2 linked regions of the Arabidopsis thaliana genome follow. The protein of the gene in region 1 interacts with the protein of each later gene in a pairwise test. Each region holds a gene or a part of one and is shown on either strand. Other genes may lie near its edges.

Region 1 (4,196 bases):
GTGGTAGCTAGAAACGTTTTTTAAACATACCATTTCTTTTCGCTGATAGTTTTACACATGCGCTTATTTTACTAGTTGAACATATATCAGAGAAAATATCTTTAAATATATCATAAACAATATTTGCACAGCATAAAATAATGAAAAAGTGTTAAATAAGTTAACTGATTTGTTTAGCAAAAAATAAATAAATAAGTTAACTGATATATTACACCTGCTACAGCTTTCGGTGGTCTATGAATCGTTGCACTGGCTGTCTTGCCTGCTTTAAGCGGAGCTATTTGGTCCGACACTGGATTCCTTCTTGCAACCTTAGAAAAGGAAAAAAGAAAGCGAGCTAGGTTTATTCGGTTTTTAGTTTAGTTTCATCTAACCATCTAGCTATATTGGTAAAGAGTTTCTATAAACTTTAATCCCAGGGTCTTACACAAATCTTATAACATTTTCAGTTAAACTGAAGCATCAAACATCTTGTGCTTTGTTTTTCCTTTTTGTAATCCATTATACTTTTTCTACTCAACCTCTGAATTATTATTGTTAAGCAAAAACAATTCATTGAGTCAAAAAATAAATTTTCCTTACGATCTACAAGACATCAAATTCACCACAATGAATAAAAAAATCAAATAGTCCAGATAAATAAAGAGTTTTTGGAAATTTTAATCCTTGGTTCTTACACGGACCTTATTACATTTTTGGTTCAATTGAAATATTTAAGACAAACATATGATCTTCTTACAGATCTACAACACAACATAGTTCATAGTAGTAAAAGTACCGAAAGACAACAGAGTTCACAGTATGTTCGTCAACGTGAATCAGAGAAGGATAACTTGGCATGAGCTAGAGCGTCTTGGAATGGTAAGGATTTCACATTCTGCTTTCTTTCTAGAATTATCATGCAAATGTATAGTGAGTTTCTTGAGGATTGGTGAGTTCTCAAGTAAGTAACTCACAAGTTTCATCTCAAAGACCTCCCCTGTCAATGGGGTTTCTATCTCAACATACTCGAGAGATGATAAGAGACATCGATGTCCTGATATGATACTAGTTCTCTCCATTCTATATCTATTAGATCCCTGAAATTACAACCAAGTGAAAGAAACAAGTTGGAGTAATTATGATACTTTCCCCATTTGCATTATTATACCAAAGAAAGTACATAAGTTTTAAGTAAACAATCCTTACCACGACAAGAGATTTTAGATTCGGGCAGCTCTCAAGAAAGAATGGCAACATTTCCCATCTGTCCTCATAGAACTCAACACTCAAGAGACATAGGTTACGAAATAAGGGCAGTGGTTCACATCTTGAGTAATCATAAATGACCTACAACAACAACAAAAACAAGAAAAAGATCAGGATAAAGTTAACATTAAAATAGCGAATTCAATAAACGTTACCTCAAGTGTACATGCAGCGATGGCCATATTTTTAACACCAGAGATCCCGACAAGAAAATTACGAATCATTTCTCTCTTTGGTAGATTCTTCGGATCAAACTTCTCTCCAAAACAAAAGTTAAACTCAATATTGATATGTGCCCCTACAAGAGAACTCCGATTCTTTATTATGAAACTTGCAGTCATACGGTGAGAGAGCGTTAGATCTTGAAGCTTGGGAGTATCAATTTCAACTATTAGTTCCTCATATTCAGGACCCATGGTATTGGGGCCATTATAGTTGAAGCTCAATAGAGACTGAGATCTCACACGTAACACTTTTACATTGTCATTGTTACTTCTGCATAACGTTAAGCTTTTGAGAACTAGGCAGCCTGAGATAAGCATTTCCAAAGCCAAATCATTTGCAAACTTAACCCAATCTAGAACTATAACTTTCACAGACGGTAAACAAACAAACTCAGGAATTGGTAAGATTACACCACAAAGCTTTAAAGATACCAAACTCTTACACACGTAAACTATTGGAGGTATTTCCAATGCACCCCACTCAAGATCGAGATGCTGAACTTTCCGTTTGACAACATCGTTGATCCACCGCGCCATTTGAGCATTACCAGTCTCCTCATCCCCAACAAGATCGCAATCGAATCCTAACTTAAACTTATTTAAGTACGACTCAGTGTTGGTACTCAGAAACCTATCCACAAAACTCACAAAAGTATTGTATTCGGTGAAATCACTACAATCCAAATCCAAACCAGGAACATACCTCCACAGATATCTCCATTTCGTGGATAAGACACAATTTTTAATCACATCTTTTGTCGAAAGATTCAAGAGAACATGACAAATCAAAGATTCTGGCAAATCTCTTACCCAATCAACTTCATAACCAGATTTTTTGTCCGAAGATTCTGGAGAACATAATCGTTTGGTACGAACACGTTTCTCTCCGTCTTCGTCCATGTAACTTCAAAATTGCGAAGAAAGCGGCATAGAGTTGGTGAAAATGAAACGATAACTGTTAAACAAACGACGTTAACTTTTAAAAATATCTCAGTTTGTGGTCAAATATTAAAGATGGATTTTAATGGGAAATTAGTATATTTAACTTTTTTACTAAACATAAACATTTTTGTAAAACCTGCTTTAGTTTATATATTGAATAAACTTCCAACAAATCCCGACCAAAAGAAAAATTAGGGAATATGCAAATAACCTAAGACTAAAAAAGAATTAAGAAAATAACATCTGACTAAACAATGTCTGCTTGCTACATGACTTTTGTCAATTTTTGGCCCATATGACTCATTTTCTCTTCGTTCTCTTTTTTTTTTTTTTAAATATCTGCATTATTTATTGAATAACCGGAGAACAAATGTAATTTATATTTATATATACATTTTTGCAGCCACTTTATGAAATAAATCCTGGAGTTTGGATTTATTTACAGTGGCTGCCACTGGCATTTAATAATTGTTTTTGATACTTATAAAGAAAATCTTTGAATTAAATATTTGACAATCTTCCCAAAATCTCTCCACATTAACTACACGATTAGTTACTAAAATAAAACTTTCGAAATATTTAATATCATTTAATTACTACAAAATTATCATTTTTGATATTGTTTTTCTACATGACTATAATAATTCGATTATAATCATCAAACCGCAGATTATAATCATCAAACCGCAGAGATATTTGATAGCATTTAATTACTACAAAATTAAAAAATATTTAGACAATGATTCATAAACATATCATAAATAAAATCAGTGAGTTTTTTTTACGGGACGAATTGGCGGGACGGGTTTGACAGGACGTTACTTAATAACAATCGTAAACTATAAAATAAAAATATTTTATAGATAAATATAATTTACAAACTTTTATATATAGTAACTTTAAAAAATAAATTGTCTCCGCGGTATACCGCGGGTTAAATTCTAGTCATACTGAAAACATAAACACTAAATTACTAAAGTTTATATAATTTACATATTTACTAAAAACAAACCAAACTAAATATATACGACGTGTGTTGTTAAAGTAATAGAGTGACCTCAATTATCTAAAAGTTTTATAGAATTATCGAAAGTTTCTCAAACTAATATTTCTATAAAAAATCAAAACCTTTTCGTAATATTTATTCAAAACAATTTCTAGTTACTTGAAATACCAGAATATAAATATGGTCCTTTACCAATTCGGAATATTTCTACAAATCCGAATTATCATACTTGCCCGTTAACATGCAGATTACTAAACCTGTTATAGTTTAGTTTTTCATCTGATCATCCTTGGGTATCAGCGCTGTAATGGTAAAGAGTTTCTAGAAACTTTAATCCTTGTGTATTATACCATTTTTGGTTAAACTGAATCATCTTGTGCTATTTTACACAGATCTTATACCATTATATATTTTTCTACTCAACGTCTGAATTATTGTTGAGCAAAACTATGTCTTTTAGTCAAAAGAAGTAACATTACACATTTAGGCCAAACATGTATAAGATCAATAAGGCATCAAATTCACCACAATGAATAAAAAAACAATAGTTTGATAAAGAGTTGCTAAAAACTTTAATCCTTGGCTCTTACACGAACCTTATTACATCTTTCATCTTTGGTTCAATTGAAAGATTTAAGCAAAACATATGGTCTACGATCTATATATATAACACAACATAGTTCACATTAATGAAAGTACAGAAACAGAACCTCGAATGTCCGTCAAGGAGGATCAGAGGACGACAACTTGGCATGAGCTAGAGCGTCTTGGAATGG
Region 2 (5,159 bases), on another chromosome or scaffold:
TGCGGCGGATCATATGTTTTAGGCTGTATATGCCATACGTGATCTTGGATGACATGTCTTTTTTTCGAGATGATAACATTTATTAGTCGGTCGCTTAATTGATTTCGAGTTTTCTGTTGCCATTTTAAATACACATTTGCGTCAAAAAAAAAAACGAGTTTGCTGTCTCGAAAATAGCACCAATGCCCATTATTTCTTAATTGTATTTTTTCGGCTAAGGTTTCTAATTATTAATTTATTATCAAAACCTTACATATGGTAATGGTACACTGTACGAGTTTTTGGTTGTCTTGTGTTTTTCAATTTGTTCTTCCTCTTTATGTTTTGAGTTTTGTTGTCCTGTTTCATTTTATTCTTACTTTTGTTTTCTCTGAATTTTGTTTTCAGTGAACGTATAATTTAAAAATCTGCAATACAAACAAACAAATATCTAAAAGTCAAGTTGGCTTTACGCATGTGATCGACGAAACACCTAATTGTCTTGTTCTTTTTCATTCGTCTGAATAATTTCATGAAATTAACAAGACAAAGGTTCACATTTATAAAAAGGGAACGAGAGCAATCAAACTACAGAAGATCACTACATCAAAATAACGCATTTCTCAGATTCTCAGATTCAAACACATTCACCTAATTGTTTTGTTCTAGCTAGGCCTTTTAGCTATACAAATTTTGCATTAACATTACAATTTCCATCGGCATGTAAACAATTAGCACTAACTAATTAATTAGTACTGCAATATATCAAACATAAAAGATGGTTAATTAATTCAGTGTCAAGTTGCTGATCCTAATGAGAATGCAGTGCTGAGACAAGATCTGATGAGTCTAACAAAAATGTGACTAATTCAAATCACATTAATTACTGTATGTAGCAAACATAAGATTATATATATAATATATCACACCAATTTATATAGGGAATAAAACATATCCTTGTATGCAATGCATAACGTAGTTATTAATATAGCCTTACATGAATAACGTCGTTAAGATAACGATATGACACTATAATGACGAAACCTTATGGGAACATCATGAAAATAATGTAACGCGAGTTTTGACTTTCCAATGTAAACGAAAGGAGTAGAAAGCAACGGAAGACTACGAATGAAAGTATGGAGCTACGTATAGTTTACGAAATAATTAATTATACATATAGAAAAGTAGTGAGTCAACTTTTCTTTCCATCGTAATCAATAGCCCAACTGTTTACTATCATTGTTTGAAATATCCTCTGACACAGAAATGTTATCTTATAGTCAATTTGACGTACAATATGCTCTCTTAATAAAATCAAGAAATCTAGTTTTTATCAAAAACTAAATTTTGTCCCCATTCCATGGATAATGTTAAAACATTACATTCATTATAGATCCATGCATGTGAATGAAAAGGCTCACGGGTAAAAAGGTTATTAAGGTATCAATATGACCTCAAATTTTGGATAGATATTGAAGATTTCATACCACTTTTTTTAGTGTCAAAAGACGGAAAAGTAATAACTAAACTATACTACTTTTAAAAGTTTGAAAATTGAAAAACAGATTTTACACCTAATTTAAAATATCAGATCAAAGATCTTATCTACAAGACTAAAATTAAACTAGTAGCGGTCTTTGCTGTCCATTGACCGAGTTTTGCGGGTGGTTTACTCATTTAAGTACCACAGCATCAAATTAAAATAACTGTCACTTGTCGAAAGTGACTAGATAAAACCAAAAATAGCTTTAATTGAGTCAAAATTGTAGTTCTAGTGCAAAGTAAAGAGTTATCATCTTACAAAATGCGACTCATTAGTGTATTAATTAATTAATTTTCAGTCCAATAATCTGGTTAATTTGGTAAACTATCCAAAGAGTAATTAAATGATTCCTCGTCATAAATACTAATTTTCTACGTTTTAAGCAAAAAAGACAATAATTATTTGGTCTGAAAACTAAAAAAAGACACGAGATTAAGGGAAGAAGATAACGATCTAGAGGAATAGGCAAGTGGAAGAACCAGAACAACAGCTGTTCTTTTCTTCTAAACTTCAGAAGTCAGCCGACAGTTAATTTCTCCTTTTTTTGAGGTTTTGTCGAATCCTATAAATTTCAACTAAACTCTTCTTCATTTTCAATATCAAATCTTGTCTTCTTCTTCTTCTTCTTCTTCTTTTTCTTCTTCTTACATTTGATTTCTCTGTCTGAATTCGAGAACCAGATCTACTAATTACCTGAGAGAAAAAAGATCTGCTCTGTTTGTCTGAAACAGACAGAAGTCAACAAATCTTTCATTTGTTTTTTAGCAAATCAAAGAAATGGCCGGAGGGTTCGTCAGTCAAACGCCGGGTGTTCGGAACTACAATTACAAACTGACACCGAAAGTGTTTGTGACATGTTTCATCGGTGCTTTTGGTGGTCTCATCTTCGGATACGATCTCGGGATCTCAGGTTTTTTTCTTTTCTTCAAGTCTTGTTCTTCTTTGATCTGATCTAGGAATTTCCGGTGACTAATTAGGGTTTCTATATTCTTGTAGGAGGGGTAACCTCAATGGAGCCATTCTTGGAAGAGTTCTTCCCTTACGTCTACAAGAAGATGAAGAGCGCACATGAGAACGAGTACTGTCGATTTGATAGTCAGCTTCTCACTCTCTTCACTTCGTCTCTCTATGTGGCGGCTTTGGTGTCTTCTCTCTTTGCCTCCACCATTACTAGAGTTTTCGGAAGGAAATGGTCGATGTTTCTCGGTGGTTTCACCTTCTTCATCGGTTCTGCTTTCAACGGCTTTGCCCAAAACATCGCTATGCTTCTCATTGGTCGTATCCTACTTGGTTTCGGAGTCGGATTCGCCAATCAAGTAAGCTCTAAAAACTGTCTTTTTCCTTGATGAAGAAGTAACACTGGTGGCTTAGTTAACTGGTTTTGTTTTGTGTTTCAGTCTGTACCGGTTTATTTATCAGAAATGGCTCCTCCGAATCTAAGAGGAGCTTTCAACAACGGGTTTCAAGTAGCGATTATCTTTGGTATTGTGGTTGCAACGATCATCAATTACTTCACCGCACAGATGAAAGGAAACATCGGATGGAGAATCTCTCTCGGATTAGCTTGTGTCCCTGCAGTGATGATCATGATCGGAGCTCTGATCCTTCCCGACACTCCCAACTCTCTCATCGAACGTGGCTACACCGAAGAGGCCAAGGAAATGCTTCAGTCCATCCGAGGAACCAATGAAGTCGATGAAGAGTTTCAAGATCTCATTGATGCAAGTGAGGAGTCCAAGCAAGTGAAACACCCATGGAAGAACATCATGCTTCCTCGTTACAGACCACAATTGATCATGACTTGCTTCATTCCTTTCTTTCAACAACTTACCGGAATCAATGTCATTACCTTCTACGCCCCGGTTTTGTTCCAAACCCTCGGGTTCGGTAGCAAAGCTTCCCTCCTATCAGCTATGGTAACGGGTATCATCGAGCTCTTGTGTACCTTCGTCTCTGTTTTTACAGTGGATAGGTTTGGAAGAAGAATCTTGTTCCTCCAAGGAGGTATCCAGATGCTTGTCTCTCAGGTAACACAAACGCCTAACCCTAACCCTACTATACGTTTCTTAATTGGCACTCAATATCTCAAAATATCGGTGTGTATTACAGATCGCTATTGGAGCCATGATTGGAGTCAAATTTGGAGTGGCTGGAACAGGAAACATAGGGAAAAGTGATGCCAATCTAATCGTGGCACTGATCTGCATCTATGTAGCGGGTTTCGCCTGGTCATGGGGACCGTTGGGATGGTTGGTTCCTAGTGAGATATCTCCACTAGAGATCCGATCAGCAGCTCAAGCCATAAACGTTTCGGTCAACATGTTCTTCACATTCCTTGTGGCTCAGCTCTTCCTCACTATGCTTTGTCACATGAAATTCGGACTATTCTTCTTCTTCGCCTTCTTTGTTGTCATAATGACAATATTCATCTACTTGATGTTGCCTGAGACAAAGAATGTGCCAATCGAAGAGATGAACAGAGTGTGGAAGGCACATTGGTTCTGGGGAAAGTTTATTCCTGATGAAGCTGTCAATATGGGTGCTGCTGAGATGCAACAGAAGTCCGTATGATGATGATCAAGAATGAAGTTTTCTTTGGGCAATAAAGATTTATGAGAAAAGAGAAAGTGAATAATTCTTGGGATGAAATAAGAATAATTGTCAAAAATGCCTTACTTCCTAAAAGAAAGCTGCTCTGTCTTTAGCTTCAGAGACTTAGCTTTCATTGTTTCTTCTTTCTTCTTTTTTAATGTTTCTTTGTTGAAATTGTTATTTGGGGCCTAAAGATGTAAAAACAAAAAAAAGAACAAAATTATTTAAAAATGGTTTCTTATTTTACATTTCATTGAATCTTTATTTGAGAAAAATAGTGTTAACGCTTTATGCAAGAAACAAGAATAGTCATCACTCATCAATCGATATTCCAGTTTATCCTTACCATTTTTTTCTTTCCAATGATTGCGGTACCTCTTCAGCTCTTCTTTGCAACAAATTTTGTGAGAAAGTAATTTCACATTTTCGAAAACTGATCGTTTAATATAACTTAAAACTATCACTCATCTAGTGACGGTATTACAATTTCCCAAAAAAAAAAAGTTAGAAATAATACAAGTACTGATGTGCATCAGTGCATGGATGAATAATTGAGTACAGAGTCAAAAACTCCCGACCAAACCTAGCAGTGATATTACCTTTAAACTTTGATAGCATATATCAAACTGAGATTGACCTATGAATATGATGGCAACGAGCTCGTGGAAACTGGTAACTGAAGATTCTTTTTTTTTGTCTATTTGGTTTCATTGCCTGAAACTCCCTATAACGTTTTCCAATTCTTTCTTTCAAATTACGCATTGTAAATAACATTATTTTTGTTGAAAGATATTTAAGATTATTAAAAAATTCAAATTGATCTATATAGTACCAATTCTTTTTTCTGAATGTGATCATGAGAGAGTGTGTGTGTGTGTTTCGTTTTGTCAACGAATTATGAATTTGCTACGTACGTGACAAGTTTCTATGATTTTGAAAGAGAATTATGAATTTGTTACATCTTTCTATTTTTTGGGGTCCAAAATAATAGAAATAAAAAAAAGTCTACAGACAAAGAATATTATATGATCTGTATGTGAAA

The links.
Region 2: the proteins of AT1G66300 (region 1) and STP4 interact in a protein complementation assay, tested with the Arabidopsis thaliana proteins (one large-scale study listed by BioGRID).

The regions. Positions count from the first base shown.
Region 1 is NC_003070.9:24,715,679-24,719,874, forward strand, and holds AT1G66300 (F-box/RNI-like/FBD-like domains-containing protein), read right to left. Parts: upstream 2,373-4,196; coding exon 1,404-2,372; intron 1,330-1,403; coding exon 1,189-1,329; intron 1,080-1,188; coding exon 819-1,079; 3' UTR 687-818; downstream 1-686.
Region 2 is NC_003074.8:6,932,746-6,937,904, forward strand, and holds STP4 (sugar transporter 4), read left to right. Parts: upstream 1-1,822; 5' UTR 1,823-2,302; coding exon 2,303-2,435; intron 2,436-2,521; coding exon 2,522-2,841; intron 2,842-2,922; coding exon 2,923-3,552; intron 3,553-3,634; coding exon 3,635-4,096; 3' UTR 4,097-4,452; downstream 4,453-5,159. UniProt on the Arabidopsis thaliana protein: Mediates an active uptake of hexoses, probably by sugar/hydrogen symport. Can transport glucose, methylglucose, galactose, xylose and mannose, but not fructose.